Linked DNA regions of Rattus norvegicus. The protein of the gene in region 2 interacts with the protein of the main gene of each other region in a biochemical or structural test. Links are inferred from orthologs where the notes say so. Each region holds a gene or a part of one and is shown on either strand. Other genes may lie near its edges.

Region 1 (6,378 bases), on a different chromosome or scaffold from region 2:
ACAGTACAGTACCACTGTGTGGCTTGGGCCCACACAGCCCTGTTCATGGCCTCCAGCAGAGCCGTCACGGGAAGCGCCGGTGAACCACCAGAGAGGAGGGACTGTGCTCAGTCTCAGCTGGGGACCTTGAGGCCACCATTTTGGATTCCAGGTTCTCCCTCACCCTAACTCAGAGTCTATGGGACAGACAAACGGCCACTCTTAGGTTCAGAACACAGGCTCAAGCTACATACTCTGGCGATCCTGCCCCTCTCTTCCTGTCCCTCAGAGCAGGAGGGAAGAACTGTGACCCCGCAGGAGGAACCGGGAGGGCGGTCACGTTACCTGCGTTCCGCCGGCACATGTTCATGTCTGCCACCTGCTTCCACGTGTTTGTCCCAGGATCGTAAACTTCCACACTCTTCCTCACCAAGGGTCCGTCGTGTCCCCCCGTGGCATACAGCTGTCCACTGAGCACCCCGACCCCTGAAAGGCAGAGCAGTGTCCCAGACTCAGGCTCACTACAAGAACCAGAATCCAAGAGGCCGCATACACAACTCTGGATAGCTATGGCCAGCAGGGTGACTTGGGGAGCAAGTTCTGTCTCCCTGGGCCCCAATGCCCTAATCTGTAAAACCAATGTAGGGGTACCCCGCCTGGCTCCCCATAAGACAGGCAGCCTGCAAGCAATGAGGTGAAAAACCAAGGTAACCCCGTTTCTGCTTTTAAAATGTAAATATATATGTGTGTATATTTCCCTCAGAATCTTATTATTCAGGTTTGTATCTGTTGAGACAAGGCCAGGTGCTGTGGTCATTGATGGGGAGACACCCTGCCCGCCAGCCTGTTCCTTCAGCCCCTCTTCTCCTTGATGGCAGCCAGCATCAGACCTGACCTGGGGGAGGAGCCCAGCAGTTCTTTGCTGCAATGAGATACAGGTCATTCAGGAAGAGAGAGGGCCAGTGAGGACCGCTTGCCTGGCAGCTGGGACACCTGGACCTGCTTTTCCAACATCCCCCTCTGGGTGGCTCTTTCCCTCCCACATTCATGGAGAAAGAGAATTGGAATGTGCCTGTGATTCCACGGACTGTTGCCTTCTGTGGACCGGCTGTATCCTTTCTGCTGGGTACTTTCTGGGGAAATAAAACCTTAGTCCCAGAGACACCGGTCAGAAGCCCAAAGGGGTGTCTCGGTGAATTCCATGTGCAGCCAGGCCGTGGGTCTGGTGGCTGGATCTGGAGACTACAGGCTTCATGAGGTCAGGAACTGCTTATGTCATGCCCTGGTCTGTTTCCCTGAGGCCGCTGGTGATAGGCTCCTGCAGATACTGTCTAAATGACAGGGTGTAATGCATCATCCCTGCCAGAAGTCATAGCAGGTGGCCTGTGGTTCCTAGCAGTTGCCCTAAACTAGCAGCAGATGGTGCTGTTGTGCCAACAATGCCTGATGTCAGGTTGTGAGATTCAGAAAATTCAGTAGGCCCCAGTTGCTTCACCTCTTCCCCTCCTCCAGGGTGAGCAGGAACAGACACTTCCCGGACCCTGAGATGGTCTCTTTCCACCACCATGTCTATCCCTCTGCTTCCGCTGTCTACTAATGAGGGAGCAAGAGCCACCTGGACATTCCCCCAGCAACCCTCGCACAACCCTTGGCAGCCTGCTCATAGATTCCCGTGTAGAGCCACATGGGGCCTCAGGGAGCTGGAACTCAGAGCCTTCCTGTCACTAGGTCTTTGGCTGTCACCAGCAGCCACTGAGACAAGTACATGGGCTCCCAGTGCTAGCATTGACACATCCCTAACTCTTTATCAGAGCAAAGCATTAAAGAAAGGGAGCCGGGGACAGTGTTCTGTCCGAGGAGGGTTCCACAGTAATCTGAGCAAAGAGCTCTTCGTGGCCAAGGTCTGGGCCTCCTGGAAACAGAAACCACAGTAATGGCACTGTCTGGGGGCTCCAGCCAAGGTTGGGACAGGTGACGTCCACCCCAACCACCCTCTGAGCATCCAGTAGGGAAGGGGCGTTACTGCCACAGGCCTTTAGCACTTGGCCCAAGTCACACATGGATTCTAAGAAAGTAAATAGAAGTTGTTAGAAGCTATAATCACTAAACCATGAGGATGGGGATGGAGGGGGTCACAGGATTTATGAATGGAGCTGGCCCTTTGCGAACACGGACAGCCTGCGCTTTGGTATTAAATGTCAGTGGTGGGGAATGGGGTTGGCCAAGTTGACAGGGCGAGGTCAAGCACACTCAGATCTAAATCCTTAGGTCTCTTGACTTCAAGGCATTCACGAGGGGCCAAGTTGTCAGGATTAGCAGAGAGGGCTCCCCCGAAAAACCCCTAAAACACATGCTTCAGAAATGGAACCCGTGCAGACATTCAACTTCATGGCCCACCAACGTATACGCCAATATATATACTTCTTTTTTTAAAGAAATTAAAACAACCTAGTTTTCACAAAATGCTAGACAAGGATGTATATGTATGATCGATCACAGTCCAGTCTCCAAAACCAGACGGGACGGGGGATGGGCATGAGGAGGGCAGGCAGCTTCTGTTTTCAGTAGTCATGAGGCCCCAAACCAAGAATCACATCAGTCACCAGGAGCCCCAGAAACTGGCCAAGGCCCCGGCTTGCTCTCGCAGACCGTGGCTCCCGAGAAGACGGATGAGAAAGGATGGAGTTGCTGCAACAGCCCCTAAGTGCCTGGACTTCCCTCACGTGACAGAGATAGAAAACTATTTGGGAGGCCATTACTTCTCCGTGATAGAGAAAAACGTGGGCATGGGGGACCAAGGCTTATCTCCAGCCATATGCCAGCCTTTACCCAAGACACCGGCTTCAAGCTGGCCAGGGAGGCTTCTTAGCTAAACCAAGGCAATAGCACCTGTCCTCCTCAGGGTGGGACAAGGCTCACTATCAGAGGGCTAAAATCAATCACCTCAGAAAGAGATTTCTAACTCTCCAAGTCTCCAATTCTATAACCTCAGGCAAAGTGATCCATCTCGGGCAGGACTTACTTTCAAACTCTGGTCAGAGGAATCAAGTGTTTGGTGAACTGAGGTGAGGTGAGGAGTGAGTGGGAGGGTGGAGGCATCGGCCAGGCACACCTGTGATCCCAGAGGCTGAAGCAGGAGGTCACGAGTCCCAGGGCAGCCTGGGAATATTTGTATCATGACATCACCTGGCACCTAGTAGGTCTGTACTTCCCAGAGATGTAGGCCTGAGCGCAAACGAATGCTCTGGTATAGCCTGGGCTATTGGTGACCTCGAGGCTAGCCTGGGCCATGGGGAAATTGTAAAGACGGGGCAGTAAAGGTGACAATGCCTTTCGAGCAGAGTAAGAAGTCCCTGGGAAAGGCTGATCCTTGTGTGAGCGCCACTGGATGTGTGGCAGTGGTCGGGTTACTTACAACCAGAGGAGAGACAGGATGAGGGAAACAAGATACAGCTCAGGGGGTTGTCTCTAGCCTCAGCCTGTATCCCCTCCCCGTGCTCTCCCGCACCCCGAGGCTCTCACGTACCAGCGCCACTGCGTCGGGTGCTCATGTCTGCCACGTATATCCACTCGTTGGTGGCTGGGTTGTACTGCTCCACGGTGCTCAGGCACTGCCTGGAAGCCCCATCGTAACCTCCAACGGCATACAGCTTCCCTGAAATAGACAGAATGACTGAGGGTGGCATCAGTGGCACTGACAAGATTTATTTATTCTATATGAGTACACTGTAGCTGTCTTCAGACACACCAGAAGAGGGCATCAGATCTGATTACAGATGGTTGTAAGCCACCATGTGGTTGCTGGGAATTGAACTCAGGACCTCTGGAAGAACAGTCAGTGCTCTTAACCACTGAGCCATCTCTCAGCCCTGATGCTCCAACTTAAATCCACTGAGGTACCTCTGTCTCCTCCTTCCGGGAGGACCTGGCTTGCTCGCCACACACAGGGCACATCTCCCCCCACATATCTGCCTTCTCTCTGCTCTGAAGCCCCAAGATGCTTAGAAGCAATGCTGAAGTTTCCTAAAAGAGGGCCCAAGCCCTGGGTGAAGCGTTCTGTGTGTGCCCAGGGCTGAGGCAGCTGGGATTTTTCTGCGAGCCAATTACTTTGTCCTCTGAGCCACATACGAGAACCCTGAAGTATCATCAACGTTCCTAAATAAAAATAATGCTGAGCTCCTGTGGGGGAAGAGTCATGTCCATCTGAGGCTGGGAGCTGAGAGCAAGGGACAAGGATTCAAACACATGGGGTTTAACATATAGTATTAGACAAGGTAGGAGAGTTCCTTCTGTGGGGACAGGGAAAGAAGTCCTACTTCACCTATGGACCTCAGATCTACAGGGTACTATGACACCAGCCACAGACCAAATGGACACTAGCTGCAGGCTAAATAAACCCAGGGTTAGAATTACCTAATCGAGAATTTAGGGGGCATTATATGAGTCCCTAACATAGTGGATGTGAAAATCCACAATTACACTGTTAGCTTCTCAGGTCCAAAACGGCGCTGTACCATCAAGTAATTCTATATTGCTGAGCTGCATTTTTCTCCAAGTCTTTTTTTCAGGTGACCTTTCTGGAAAAGAACTCCTGCACAGCTCCTCCCTCACAAGGTCAAATCACACAAACAAATTCACCTAGGCCGCTCTCCCCTCGCGTGCCAGCTCAGGTGGTTCCCATTTTTAGGAGAGTTCTGCGACTCTCCCTCTGCTCTGTTGAGCATTTCTGTCCACGCTCCAACCCACATCATAGCTTGCCCTTACGAGGGATTCTTCTAGGTGGCAATGAGCAAATTATCCCCTAGTGGTTCAGGGTCATTCAGACTGCATGACCTTGGCAAGGAGAGGGCGTGCCGGGAGAAGGAACTGTGCAGAAAAAATCTGAGTCCTCGGCAGTTACAAAGCACAGTCCACTCCAGTGCCTCCTACACGTTCTTAGAAACATTTTCTGCTCTCTTGAGGCAGCACACACAGCCCACAGGGTGTCAGGTGCTTTCCTCCCGGCTTCCCTCTACGTCTGCGGGGCAAGCCATTTGCCTGCACTTCCGCGACTGACACTGACACAGCCCCTGTCGTGGGCAGTGTTTTCAATTTCTACCATCAAGACACCTTCGCTAACCATTCCCGTCAACCATTCCAACCTGGTATCGGCTAAGCAGCCACTCAAGGTCTCTCCCTGAGTGTATGCGCAAGCGTCTGCTGTTTTTAACCCTGGGTCTGTTTGCCGTTCCTGCCTGAGGAACAAGAAGGGAAATGAGAAGCTAGCTAGACAAAGCTCTCGGATCTGGCTGGCAAATCAATGTCTGCCTCGTCAAGAGGATACAATTTGTCCGGATAGAGGGACGGAATCCTGGCCTCTGCATGGGTACTGAGCCCACAGCTCCTACCTATCAGCAATTGAGACCCGTCTCCGGATCCAGATTAGGAGTCAGAAGACCTTCAGGACTGCTCTGCTATTTACTATCATGATACAAGGACTCCATCCTCTGAGTTCTTCCGGAGGGTTTGAAAGAATAAGAGAAAGATGTTTTAAGAACGTCTGGCTAAGCCTCCGATCTGGCCACACCCTCCTGCCTAAGCCACACCCTCCTGTCTAGGCCACACCCTCCTGCCTCGGCCACACCATCCTGCCTAAGCCACACCCTCCTGTCTAGGCCACACCCTCCTGCCCCGGCCACACCCTCCTGCTTAGGCCACACCCTCCTGCTTAGACCACACCCGACACCTAGCCTATCCCGAGACATGTCAGACCTGAAAAAGAAGCAGCCCGTCTTTCTCATGACCCCGCTAGCATGCAACACATGAAGGTGAGCAGAGTGTTAGCCAAGCATAATTATCACCCCTCCCTGCTACACTGTGCCCCAGTTTGTGTGTGTCGACTCTGGGCTCCCTACTTATTTCCCATTCCCCACAGTTAGCAGAGATACTTACAGAGGTGCCCAAGGGACAAGTTCTCACTTCCCCCCAAGTCTCCTCTTTCTCCCCCAACCTGCTAACCCCTTCTTAGCATTGGCCCAGGAGCATTCCCACCAAGTCTCGGCCCTCCTTGTCTGTTTACTAGAGACAAGGAACTTAACTCCGGCCAGTGACCTGAGGAGTGGAGTCACAGTAGAGGGAGCATCAAGCAAAATGCTGTACTCAGGACAAGACCCACGGGCTAGGGCAGGAGCAGCCACCACCCTCTGCGACCTCCTTACCCTCCACGACACCCACTCCCACGCTGCTCCGCCTCGTGTTCATTGGGGCCACGAAGAACCACTCATTGGTCTTGTAGCTGTAGGCTTCTACGGATGCCAGCCCTGGGGAGAAGAGAATCATGGGATTTCTATAGCCGCAGACCTCACCCTGACGTGTAAGGGACGGTGAGACTGGGAAGAGACCAAGACAGGGCTACAGACT
Region 2 (6,378 bases):
GATACCTGGAAATACTTTTGTCCTAACAGAATGATTTTGTATCATCAAATTACAACTACCAAATTTTAAAAGCACCAAAATACACTCGTCTTATTTAATCATTCCTGATAAGGATTCTTTCACTACGCATGGCCATGCTGGAACCTGCTCTTAGACCATGTGTATACCTTCATCTCAAGAGAGTCACCTGCCTCTGCTTCCCAAATGCTAGAATTAATACTCTTACATGGACAAGTCATAAACATATATAGAAACAAAGATATTCTTTGTATGGTTTACTTTATGCATAAAATCACTTAGGAAGGGAGATATAATTTATAACTATATAACAATTCTCTTTTTTAAAAAAAGATTTATTATAGCACTCTGCCAGCATGTATGCCTCCACACCAGGCAAGGGCATCTGCTTTCATTACAGATGGTTGAGAGCCAGCATGTAGTTGCTGGGAATTGAATTCAGGACCTCTGAAGAGCAGCCAGTGCTGTTAACCTCTGAGCCATCTCTCCAGTCCACAATTATTCTTTTCAACACTTATCTCTTAAATTGCTCATAGGTACATAAAACATGTTATGAAAATTACTCTTTCAAAAACTTAGCAACCCATTTATATCAGAAATCTACTGATATAGATATAAAACAGTGCCTGTGGCTACTGCTAAAACATTAATATAGCAATGTGACATTTTTACCTGCTGAGGATGTTGGACGGGTTGTGAAGATAGAACCCCTGCTAAACTACTTGATGGCTGGCCCTGGTTCTGCCCCTGTGCCTGAAGAACAAAAAGCACATACAAATTAGAAAGTTTATATACAAAGTTTAGATTTTTGTATAAATACTTCAGATCCTGAGAAGATTGCTTGATCAAAATGAAACATCAGCTTAATGCTGTAGTACAAGACCGACCTCGGATTTTTTGGTAAGGTAAGTTCAGAAAAAAGATCATAGAACATTTCTGATCACATCTCAAGTAAACACAAACAGAAAGACAAAACCACAAACACATTGATAGTTCCAGTTTTAGCTGGCTTGAATAGTCAGATTCACAATAAAATTGTCACAGGGAAAATGTGGTAAGATATCAATATGAAAAAATTTATTCTTGACAATTAAAGAAAACCACATTCAAAACTGTTAATTTGGTTCCCTTTTGAGTTTTCTTGTAGTATTGTAGTAACTCTGATGAGAAATGTGAAAGAACTGTTAGAAACCAACTCCTAAACAGGCATATAACGGTTGTCCAGGCAATGTAGAAATATCTTGAGTCATTCTGATTGTTAACTAGGGGAAATGGCTGCTACTTATAAGAGATACTACTAAAAATAAATAAATAAATAAATAAAATTCTATGACGACCAGAGGAATCTCACTCAAAATAAAGGATTAACCAACCCAGAATGTCAACCACGTTGGGTCTGAGAAACTGAACAGTGCATTCCAATTAACAAGAAGTCAAATTAACTAAGAATAGAGTGTAAGAATATATGTTAGGAAAATTAATCCACGTATACTATGTATATAAACACGTTAAGAAAATGAGAAGGCTAGACCTTTACTGTTTCATTCCAATGTAGCAGAAGTTTACATGGATGTATCATACTCCACTAAAACTTTAATTATCTATTTTCTTTAAAAAAAATATTTTTCCTTTGCAAAGCTTAGAGGATAATGTAAGCATACAGCATGTCCACACTGTTTAAATTTCAGGGTCCTTTTGCTTCTTAAACACTACTCTAAATAACTGATAAGAGATAGTCATTGCTGACTGCCTTACTTCTATGTCTTTGTGTAAATGTTCATTAGTATGTATATACGCTCACCTGTGTGATTAAAGTTTTACATGTATTTATTGAGAACAGGGTCTGAAAGATCTACTGTTCCCAACTATGTAATATGTTATCATAAACTCATGAAAACCTAATAAAAACATTATATAATAGGCTCTAATAGTCATTAATATTAGACATAGTCCTTAATTTTAGTTTAATATTTTATTAATATCTTTAGTATAGTGATTTGACGGATACCATCTCAAAATGGCACCTTCATTTATTAAGCTAAACTCCTAAATTATGTTTTCTTAAGTTCTTATGATGAAAAGTTCTGTGTTTCTTAACATGACACCAAAAAAGCCATTTTGCTTTATGGTTTGTTTCTCATTTTTAAAAACTTATTTAGAAGAAGCAATTATATACTAAATCATCTTACTATAAATAATCAAGACTGACAGACAATTGCATTTTTACTACTACCACAAAATTCCACAGATATTAGTCATTGATTCTGACAACTAAAATCACAGGTAAACCAGGTATTTTCCACTTTAAAGTTCATTTTTTTAGTACATATATTTATAACCACAAAAGAAATCCTACTAAGAAAATAACATTTCTTATAAATCCATGATTCAGGGAAATGAGACAGAGAATTTAAATGCATTGGTGCATAATAGGGTATTTTAAAAGAATTGTGAAAGTTTTCCTATAACCTGTGGATGGAGTGCAGATCCTCCTGAAGAATATGAAGCAGATAAGACCTGCTGAGATGTGGTTCCTTGGGGGAAACAGAAGAATAGTGGGGATTCTTGTAACACTGTCTGAGGCAGGCGAATATAGGGCAATGAGACGTCAGAGCCAAAAGGTGCAGCTGTTCCCCCTGTAGGGGGAGGTGATTGAAAATCACTGATATCTGAAGAAGTAATTTGAGAGGAATCACTGGAATATTCTGGGCTTCCTACTGGCCAGTTTTGTCCCATAGGTTCTACCACAGAAATGGTCAATTCTGGGGTATGGTTATTACGCTGTTCTTCAGTAACAGGCTGCAGGTGGCAGTGTAATCCAACTGACTGAGGAGACAGTTCTTCCTGACTTGAGTCCACTGCAACCTGTCGATTTCGGTAAACACGTTGAGGTAAAATCCCACCTCCTTCTCCTGAAGAGGAACTTGGTGTTTGAGCATGAAATTCAAATACACAGTTGCTTCTGTTCTCATTGCTATGAGTTAACACAGCTGGTGCAGAATGAGGTACAAAGACAGGGTGAAATTTCAAATGTGTAGCATCTGTACTGTTAGGCGCAGAAATACTAGACAGGGGTGATGCTGGACTTGGTCCAGAATCTAATCTTAAATTCTGAAGGTGTCCTACTAGGAAAGCCTGTCCAGAAGGAAATTCAAAGACAGAACTTGAGGCAGGGCACCCAGGCACTGGCTTCTGTTCAGTTATCTGTTTCATAGGACTTGACAGTACTGGTGAGTTGTATGAAATACCCTCATACTGTCCTGCCGCATGGGCCTGGTAATGCACCCCAGCTAGATATACTGTTTCCTGAGGAATAAAATAGTGAGCTTCTTCTGCCAGTACTAGTCCAGGTCTATAGTCACTGTAAATCTGGGTTGTCTCAAACACAGGTTGGACCTGCATCTCACATAGCTCTCTATTTACTCTATTGGCTGTAGTACCCAACATAACTATGGCCTCTGGTGTCCAGTTAGTTGGGCTGCCACCAGGTGGAAGATGATTTTGGCCAACAGTCCTCAGCAGGGGTTGGAAGTGGCGAGTTTGAGCTTCCAGGAAGGAGGTACTCTTACGTCGCTGGGAAATGGCTACTTTCGGTGGACAGGTAGGAGGTGGTGAAAAAGAAACTGGACGTTCATGAATAGTTGGGAAAAATATCTGTGATTCTGGGTATGTTGGGGTCCCCCCACACGGATGCGCCACGGACTGAGGCTGTATCAACATGAATAAGACAAGTAATTCATACATTCAATATGTAAAATTACATCAGACATGCACAGCTGGATAGTTCTGTGTAACCCCATGAAGTGGCTACACCAAAATTTTAATAACTAACAATGCTTTTGGAATTTATAGCAAAAATCCATTAAATACATCCAGGGCCAATAAAGTCAATCTGTGGCACTTCCTTGAATGAAAGAAAAAGCTGCTTTCCCACAAACTTGCTCCATCAAAGCAAAGGCATAAATTACAACTTCCCAAGTAATTATTCTATTTTACCTATAATAAATGTGTTCATTCTTAAAATGTTTGTCAATGGAAAGAGCTAAAGTTAGAATATTAAAGGACAATAAATAACCTTATTATTTTTATAATTTAAAATATATTTCAATTTAAGCTACTGTTCCATAGTGCTACAACATTAGTCTATTAGAGGCTTCAGTTATTTTTCATTAACTAACAGTAGAAATTTAACTAGTATAAATCAGAAGAGGTCTTTGGTATTTGGTATAAGATAAGCCGAAAAGAGTGGAACATACTTATAATAATGTTAGCACCCAAGAGGCTAAGACAGGGGAATGTAAGAGTACAAGACCTGAGCACTGTCTTAAAAAAACAAATAAAAAGATAAATGACTTGTTGCTCTTTTCTGTGTTTAAAGCTACAATTAATAGTTTTACTATAAAACAAGCTACAGGTGCTAAATCATTCTTCTGATCATTGCTAAGGGCTGAATACCATGAGTTTCCTAATTCTGACAAATCAGGCAAAAAGGCAAACCTGATTTAATAGCATGTTTTATTTCCAGAATTTAGACTAAGCTTGCCAAATGCAATATACATACTTCTCTACCATGCACTGGACTTCTAAAGTGAGCTTATGTAAGAGCCCAGGCTCAATCCTTAACAACATAAAAACAGAGGACAACCTGAAATGTTGGACATCATCCCCAACTTGTCAGAGACAGGTGTCTGTTGCTTGATTATGTATACAACAGACTGCAAGGCACATAAGATTCTACAGAGTCTATTATCCTCTCCCATCGCAAAATAGGAACACGAGATTATGGACAGTATCTACCACACCAGGCTTCACATGGGTTATGGTAATCTGCATTCAGGTCTCCATGCTTGTGCAGCAAGCACTTTAGTCACGGAGCCATTTCTTCAACCTGCTAAAGTATTTCTCCATAAAATCAAAGTGCTCATATTTTATTGATTATTCAATTTGTGTCCTGAGGCTATAAAACATTGTACAGTTAATCTTTTTCCTAAGTAAAAGTCTTAAGTTTCTGGTGTTATTAGTTCAGAATATTCTGTTTGGAAAAGCAGCAAACAAGGTCTCATAACAATTAATGTAATTTGAGAGGTTGTATGTTTCACAGACATTAATGGACACAAGGAAAATTACATGTTATATATGTATCTAATATACTCGAGTCTATGCCCCACTTTATGTAATCTAAGAGGTGAAAAGAAAGTGCTTCCCAGACAGGAAATAGCCTTTTGATTTCCCGACATTTCACTTCATACAAATGACTGAATTAAAATCAACTTTTACTCCTCGATTGATTGGTTTAAAAAACAAAGGACTTGGGGTTGGGGATTTAGCTCAGTGGTAGAGCGCTTGCCTAGGAAGCGCAAGGTCCTGGGTTTGGGCCTCAGCTCCAAAAAAACCAAAAAACCAAAAACAAAGGACTCAATTAGTTGTATTTCTTAAGAATAAACTGAGGAGAAAACATACTTGGTCAGTGTTTGGTAGACTCTACTTTTGATTAGGCTAATGAGTTGAATTAAGTAATCCACATACTTCTTGCTAAGATATTAAAATGAGAACCCTTTTATCAATAGAAGATAGAAAAGTATAATAAAAACTCTATTAATATATGCTAATGACATTATAAGCATTCTCTTTCATTGCCTCTTTGCTTTTTATTCCCATTTAAAGTCTTATTACAAAAATGTTTCCTATAGGAATAGTTATCTTAAAACACAACATTTGCTAATAGTTTAGTTTTGCTTTTTTAAGCATATAGTCTCTATGCCCGGATGTATTCATTGGTAATGGTTTTTCACTTGTCAGGAAGTTTACAGTTACATACAGTAGTGACAAAGAGGGAAGGCAGGCTGGAGCGTCGGTGCTTGCGCTGGGAGGCAGAGTGCATAGGCAGGACACTCTCCAATGCTTTAGAGAGTTTTTCCGCAAAAGTTTCCTCAGGGGCACTCCGAAGGAGGGAAGGACAAAGAGGTGCAGACAGCACTGGTGGTGGGGTGGAAGGAGCACTGGGAGAGATGCGGGATAGAGAGGGAACAGCAGAAAGATGGGGAACACAAACCGACATGCTACGGCCACGACGAGGCTAAACAGAAAACAAACACACATGAAAAACACAGTACTTTGAAAACAAAATAACCAAATGTACAGTGATAATAGGGTATAGTTAACATAAAGAAATGTTCTACCCTCCCCAATTCTACAAAAAAAAAAAAAAAAAGAGTGTAAGACATAATTCTACAAAGCACAGCTGGTATATTGTAACTATTTTCCCTGTTCTGGTGGTTTTGTGCAGGTTTTCTTATAAACAATCAAAAGATCAATTATGATCTTTAATATTTTGAAATAATATCAACTATTATAAGTTCA

Evidence for each region.
Region 1: of the proteins of Wnk1 (region 2) and Klhl3, one has a biochemical effect on the other in vitro, tested with the Homo sapiens proteins (2 studies listed by BioGRID). The link is inferred for Rattus norvegicus from reciprocal best matches to the Homo sapiens genes WNK1 and KLHL3.

The regions. Positions count from the first base shown.
Region 1 is NC_086035.1:6,631,825-6,638,202, reverse strand, and holds part of Klhl3 (kelch-like protein 3), read right to left. Parts: intron 6,279-6,378; coding exon 6,177-6,278; intron 3,635-6,176; coding exon 3,506-3,634; intron 466-3,505; coding exon 325-465; intron 1-324. UniProt on the Homo sapiens protein: Substrate-specific adapter of a BCR (BTB-CUL3-RBX1) E3 ubiquitin ligase complex that acts as a regulator of ion transport in the distal nephron.
Region 2 is NC_086022.1:154,834,464-154,840,841, forward strand, and holds part of Wnk1 (serine/threonine-protein kinase WNK1), read right to left. Parts: exon of another isoform or gene 6,095-6,378; coding exon of another isoform or gene 5,837-6,094; intron 3,727-5,836; coding exon 2,488-3,726; intron 772-2,487; coding exon 691-771; intron 1-690. UniProt on the Homo sapiens protein: Serine/threonine-protein kinase component of the WNK1-SPAK/OSR1 kinase cascade, which acts as a key regulator of blood pressure and regulatory volume increase by promoting ion influx.